2 linked regions of the Oryctolagus cuniculus genome follow. Each later gene encodes a partner of the first gene's protein in a complex. Links are inferred from orthologs where the notes say so. Each region holds a gene or a part of one and is shown on either strand. Other genes may lie near its edges.

Region 1 (3,650 bases):
CATGGACAATTTTTTTTAAAAGATAAAATGTATTACATAAGCGCCATAAACAGTGAAATCTGCTTATATTAAAAAAAATAAGTGAAGCTTTGTTTGAACATTATTTCCTTGCAAGAGCAGTACATATCCTTTAGTAAACAACTACCATATTTACAAGTTAACTTCCTTGATACTTAGGTAGGATTGAAAGCGAGAAGAAAACATGAGATAATGAACTCTGAAATAATCTTTATAGTGAAGTTGCTAACAGTGAAGGTAGCCAGGAACAATTCCTAAAGCAGACTTGTTTACTCTGTAGAGGGATCTGACTATGTCTGGGTAGTTAGCTCATTTCGCTAAAGGCCAAGGACGTGTTCAAGCCCTCTTCTGGCCTATTGGCTTTTCCCAGAAAAACAAGTACCTGCTCCACAGACTGACCCCAACCAGCTTTAAGAGAGGAATTAGGCAAAAGTACTGGGGTTATCATTATTTACTCTTACTACTAAGAAAACATAAAGTGCCTGTCCATAGTGAGTGAGCTGTCTCATCTTCAAATATGGACACCACAATTAAATTTTGAATTTCAATTAAGCCAAAATGATACACTTTCAAGGAAAGGTAAAAAAATCCCTTAATTCACCTGGTCATCATATGCAAGATATTAAGTCTGCGATAGACTGTGATGAAATATTAGCAAGTGTGCACTAGTACCTTAAATGGCAAATCTCAAAAACACTGCAAATTCGAGACTTTCCTATGAGCACACACATCTGTACCAACTGCAATTTATGCTAAAAGTGGTTTGTAGTCTCTTTCCTCCACTGTTGGAGGTGCAGACTTGCAAAAACATCAACTTAACTTGATGTAGTGGTTTGTGTCTCTGCAACCAGAGTTCTGCCAAATTTGCCGATCTGCCTCATATGTTCCTGTAGAATGCCAAGTCATGCTGCTGCTGCTCTCACTGTATGGAACCAGTTGTTGTCTGCATTATTACTGTCTACATGAAAATTTTATGCTCCTCAGAGCAGTTTTCTTGACTCCAATCTGTCATTTCCTGCCTAAATTCAAGTTAAACACACAATTTCCATTGGTCTTTAATGCAGTTTGACTCTGCATGGCCCTATCCTATGCATGTCACAGTAGCTGTTCACATACATTAAATATTATAGATATGTTCTGCTCTTGACACCTACACACTTACAAAAGCAGCTTTGTACTTTGTTTGGTGTGTTTTTTTTTTTTTAAACTATGTTGGCTCACAAAAAGCAGTTCTCTCATTTCTAAGCATGGTACTTTACAATTTTTTATGCATTAATACAACAGTGCATTGGAAAAGTACTGAGCCTCTACAAAATAGCTTTACATTTTTAAACAAATGAATGTGATTTTTTTCACTTACACAAGCATAGGCTTTTTAATATTTCCACAAGATAAATATCTCAATTAAACTATAAGCTCACTCTACAGTGTGCCACAGTGATGGGCTTAGGAGACAGTTATACACTTAGAGGATTCTAACCTTAGTGTTATTTACACTGACATGTCCAGTATCACCTAGTCTGAAAGGTGAACAAACAATACTCAGAATGTGGCTGAATTTGTGTCAATAACTGGGAATGGTACAGTTTTAAGTAATCACTTAGGAAACACATACTGTAACTTAGCCTAAAGTGGGAAGTTCCTTCACCCCTCTCTCTCCTATGGCATGGGAAACTTTACATAAAGATCAACATGAAACAGATAGGAGCCATTGCTAAGGCAGATCCTTTAAGATAACAAAGGAGAAACCAACAAGTGTATATGATACAAATTATCAGTAACAGAGATGTCATCAATTCAACTGGTACTGAAATCAGATTGTTAGATCCTAAAATGTTGCTCTTTAAATGCTTCCTTGTGTTCTGGGACAGAAACTGCAAAAAAGGACAATGATTCCTTCAGAAAGCAATGACTCAATTCAGGTTGTTACTTTACATTTAAGCACCACTCAAAAAGTGGACATAAAACAAGTGATTCCTGTTTGCCCATCACTATACCAGCTACATAGCTGAAAGTTCAGATCTTAATTACACAACACTTTCTCTGTTACCAGAAGCTAAGACTGCTCTGCGACAAATAGGGCAGGTAGAATTCTCAGACAACCAGCGATCGATGCAGTGCACATGGTACTCATGGGAACAAGGTAGTTTACGAAGTTTGTTGCCTTCTGTATATTCTGTAATACAAACACTACAGGTTTTTAATGCATCGTTTTCACCAAAACTTCTCATTGCCAAGTTGTCAATCTGTTCTTTGGTGAGTCCTCTAGGTTGGTCATCATCATCCTCATTTAAGAGGAAAAACTGAGCCAGACTAAGGAAGGGCAAAGAGCCACTTTCATCAAATGTGACCGGGGCCCTATGTCGACCCTCTCGCCTGGCGCCTGATGATGAGCTTCCTTCATTACTGCCTTCAAACACCTCTGAGCTACTTTCTGAACTTTCACCACTGGAACTGGAACTGGAGCTAGGGCTCGAACTGGAACTGGAACTGGAACTGGAACCAGAACTGCTACCACCACCAGAACTCCCTCTTCCATTCCGTGGCTCTGCCCTCTCCATATTTCGACTTGGGACTGAGCCACTAGGTTCTGAATCACTATCACTGTACATAAAGTAGCTTAACTCACCAAAACCTGTCATTATCTGCCTTAACATGGTCTGAATTGCAACAGATGTAGTCTCACTTAAACCAGTATTTAAGATTCTACGAATGGGAATTCTGATGGTACTGACATAGGTTCTCACACCTGCCCGCTCAGAACGTGAAAATGTACGCCTAAAACCTCCTCGTTCACTTTCATAAGTGACAGTGTTGTTTGATGTCTGAGACCTTGAGCGAGTTCTACTAGCTATGCTATCTCTTTGCCGATATTCCCCAGGACGAACTCTTCTCACTTGAAGATCAAGGACTATGGTTGGAGGTCTCTGCCCTGATCCTGTGGATTCACCATTGCTGGCTGTGTCTGAAGAACCTGCTCCTTGAGAGGCATTTCTTGTTCCAGAAGCTGCAAAAAGACCCCTACTTAGCAACTCTGGTCCAGTGATCTGCTGTCTTAATGTCACATGGTGTCTGGTTCTAGAACTTCCCTCAGTCTCATTTACCAAAGGATGCTCAAAAGTCTGAGATGAGATACTATGATGAGACCTTCGTGGAATTTCACTCATTGGATGCAGAGGTGACCTGCTTCTTTCAGCTCTCGCTCTGGTTCTCCGATGGTCGGGGCTCCTGCTTCTTGCCCTCCTCAGACCTCTGGCAGGTGGAGCCTCTGCTAATGCTTCAGATGAATTTCGTTCTGATCTAGACGATCTTGTAGATGTTGATTCAGATCGCGGATTTTCCACTTGCCTTTGGCTGTTTTCCACATTTTCTCCACTAGAACGTCTTACAGATGGCTCATTTTCATTCTCTGAATTTTGGCTCCCATTATTACGGTTAACATTTATTTCTAAGCTGAATCTGAAATCACCACTGTTTGGATTAGTCCGGCTCACTGCTCTCCAAGACTGGTTTCCTCTTTGCCCACTTCTTGTTGTATTTCCAGTTTGTCTGACAGAGTTAAGCCAGTCTATTATGGAGTCACCATTAGACACATCATCTGTGGAGTCTCCACCTGGTTAAAACAAAGGAAG
Region 2 (3,650 bases), on another chromosome or scaffold:
AACTTAACCAAGAGAAAGTAGCAGAAAATAAGGCATCATTCCACCATCATTAAAACAGATTACTAATCTCTCGTCTTTGCTACTAAACAGAAAAAAAGTATTAATGATCAATTAACCATAAAAGTAAACCATCATACACTTATATGCATGTCTGTCCAGGCCTCTCTAACAATATATGTTTATTTTATAAATCTGACATACCACTTAACTGACTTAAGTACCAAAAAGTTCCCTAAAATTAAAGCCACCTAAAAAAGGTCACCTTAAAGGGGAAAGAAAAATCCATGGCCCACATCTCAGAAAAAAATGACTAAACACATCAGAAAAGCAGAAGTTAAGAGGATAAAATGACACCAGAACTAAAAAGTTGCAACAACCGAGGTACCTTTTAGCACTAGTCGACAATTTAGCAGCCGTCTTGCTGGATATTTTTCCCTCCTTCTTCTTGGGCTGAACTTGCTCTCGTTCCGGTTCTTGCTGAACACTTTCACGCTGGTCTCCATCAGAACTTCCTCCACTAGTGCTTGGACTGTCATCAACTCTTTGTGCCTCAGTGGACATTTTAGATCCTTGATTAAAGAAGCAAATATTATTTATTCAGCTGTGGGGAGGACTACTGTAAGGTACTTCCACACAAGAAAGCGAGCCTAAAAAATAAAACAAGTAAAATGCAATATAAAATGGATTCAGTCAGTCATTTACAAAAACAAACAGTGCTAGGAGTTACCAAAACTTTTCTTTCATCCATTCAAAATGTATTAAGAAATGAAAATGCAAATTTCATACACAAAATGTTCATAGCATCATTACAATAGCCTAAATATCAAAAACAATTCAAATGTCCACGGACAAAGGGAAATAAAAATGTGGTAGACCCATAACGGATTAATATTTAGCCATTAAAAAGGAATGGTGTACAGTATCCATAGCAATACAGATGAATCTTGAATTATCACACAAGTCAAAGAAGTCAGGCACAAATGACCACAGTTTGTATGTTTCCATTTCTATGAACTATCTAGAATAGGCAAATCCACAAAGACATAGAAAAAGGGCTAGGAATGAGGGAAAAATGCACACTAACTGCTAATGAATACAGGTTGGGGTGATAAAAATGCCTTTAAATTAGATAACGGTGATGTTGCAAAACTGTCAATACAGCAAAAACAAGGGTTTTTTTTTTTTAGAAAAAAAAAGAATTATTCATTTATTTGAACGGCCAAGTAACAAAGAAGGAGAGACGGAGATAGAACAAAATCTTCCGTCTGCTGATTCACTCCCCCAAATGGCAGGAGCTGGGCCAGGCTGAAGCCAGGAGCCAGGAACTCCAACAGGGTCTCACACGTGGGTAGCAGGGGCCCAGGTACTTGGGCTATCTTCCACTGCTTTCCCAGGCACCACAGCAGGGAGCTGGATTGGAAGTAGAGCAGCCCTGCAGAGCCTAGAACCAGCACTCCATTACTGATGCCAGCTTTGGAAATGGCAGCTAACTTAACCCAATGTGCCACAACACTGGCCCCCCGAAGCCAGAGTTACACATTTTTAAAGGATTTAGTGTATAATACATAAATTATATCTTAATAAAGAGATTATTTTAAAAAGAATAAGAGAAGGAAAGGAGGGAAAAAAAGGACACAGGCCCACTTGCTATACCAGGCACTGTGGTAAACCTGTTAGCCCCACAACTGTGAGAATTTTGAACTACAAGGTAAGCCAGCTTGCTAAGTGCCGCAACAGAGGTTAGCACAAATCCACAGATACAGAGAAATAAGGGCTACTTTCACATCCACATCCAATCAATACATCCTCAGGGCTGAACTCAGGTTAGGAATCCTCTAGCAGACAGTTTAAGTAACCTTCATGACAGCCTAAGAACAGAGGCCTGCTTGATCTAAATAAAGCCTGAACCACAGGACAGCATCAGCACCGATTCCAGCATATAAAGCAATCACGTTTCACAAGGGAGGGTGACAGTATTCAGACAATGAAGAACTCCTTTTTGCCCCACAGTCTGGAAGAAATGTCCCTCAAGGTTTTCAAATTCCCTTTGCTCTAAGTTCATGTTCTCCAAGCAACTCTGATTATCAACTAAATTTCCTCAATACCTTGGTACCTCGGCAGCTTTTATAACCTAGATAGCAGAGACCAAAAAAAAAAAAAAAAAAATCCTGGTAAATTAAAGGACTATCCTCCCTCCCCTCAGTGTCCTTCTATCATAATCAATTGCTGCGCTTGATTACCATGACCTCCCTTACAATCCTACCAGCTGAGTGTTGTGACAAATGCAGAACTACCCTAGCCAAAGGGATGCTCTGAGATGCTACAAGGCCTTGTGCCCTCCATGGCGCAGTCACCTCACGGCCACCTGGACTCCATACAGCTATCTCTCAACACTGCCTTAAAGAACAAAACTACCTATGTTTTAAGAAACACCATCAACACCACAAAATACACCTTTACCAAAACACAATAAACAGGACAAAATTCCTTTTGAAAAGGATACTTTTTGTTTCATTTGTTTTTGAGGGTTGTTTTGGTCAGCTAAGGCTGGACCAAGCGGAAGCCAGGAGCTTCATCTAGGTCTCCCACGTGGGTGGCAGGGGCCCAAGCACTTTTCCCAGGCCACCAGCAGGGAGCTGGATAGGAAGTGGAGCAGCCAGGACTCAAATCAGCACCCATATGGGATGCTGGTGTCCCAGGCAGTAGCTTCACCATTACCCTACAATGCTGGCCCTGAAAAGGATACTTCTTACCACCCCTTAATCAAATCAAGATGTGAAATAAAATTTGCTTTTATGACTGGATGTAGGTATAGGATAGGTAAAAGATATCTCTCACATAGTTTTTCAATACTATAATTAACTGAATCTGTGTGAATAGCTAGTTGACACGGATAAAAATGCAACTTCACCAAAGACTAACTTTTGCAGATTTTTCTAAACCAAAGTCATTTTGGAATACAGTCCTTTAACAAGGTGAGCAAAAAGCACTACAACAGAGTGGGAGAATCTGGAAGCACAGAGGGGTGAAGAGTCGAGAAAAATAATCAATGTCTTCACTGAGACACCACCCACCCCTACTCCAAAAAACGGAGCCATTTCCCTACGCCAAACAAAAATACACCTGCCCAAACAGCTCTGAAACGCACTGCTGGGATGTCTCCCTACCCTTCTCTCTTCTGCAAATGCAGAGCATCAGCCCCACAGCTGTGACATCTGTTATGAACACGAAAGTCACCTAATAGAATGCTCAAGTTTTACATCAGTAGGTTTCAGATGTAGCGCTAAAAACCCTACCATATTTCTTGCTTTTTTAAAATTTTTACTTCACTTTAAATTATCATTCTTGGATTGAACATTAGTTTTTTTGTTCCGCTTACATCTTTCAATTAAAATGTCAGAAGTTTAAAACACTGTCAGTATGTACACAATAGCATGTCAGAGCAGATGTGCATGGGAGTCAGAAAGAATAATTCTCAGAGAAAGGCATCCAGATATAGCGAAGTGTTGCCAACAATATTTTAAGAAACATGAAATGAGTAAGAAATCATTTTACATATCTTTAACCAGAAGCAATCCATTACATGACAAATATATGGGAGCCTAAATGAAATAGGACTCTCTTACTTGAAGCTGAAGCTTCAGTTTAAT

What was found. Proteins that work in one complex are often made in the same cells at the same time.
Region 2: the proteins of RLIM (region 1) and UBE2E2 are in contact, whole or in part, in a crystal structure (PDB 6W9A), measured with the Homo sapiens proteins. The link is inferred for Oryctolagus cuniculus from reciprocal best matches to the Homo sapiens genes RLIM and UBE2E2. Residues at the interface, in NP_057204.2 of Homo sapiens: Ser571, Val572, Cys573, Ile574, Thr575, Cys596, Arg599, Trp600, Pro608, Ile609, Arg611; in NP_001357154.1 of Homo sapiens: Lys52, Thr55, Lys58, Arg59, Lys62, Pro112, Asp113, Pro115, Phe116, Ile142, Asn146, Trp147, Ser148, Pro149, Ala150, Leu151, Thr152.

The regions. Positions count from the first base shown.
Region 1 is NC_091453.1:54,291,922-54,295,571, forward strand, and holds part of RLIM (E3 ubiquitin-protein ligase RLIM), read right to left. Parts: intron 3,632-3,650; coding exon 2,046-3,631; 3' UTR 1-2,045. UniProt on the Homo sapiens protein: E3 ubiquitin-protein ligase.
Region 2 is NC_091435.1:159,120,001-159,123,650, reverse strand, and holds part of UBE2E2 (ubiquitin-conjugating enzyme E2 E2), read right to left. Parts: intron 648-3,650; 5' UTR 562-647; coding exon 386-561; intron 1-385.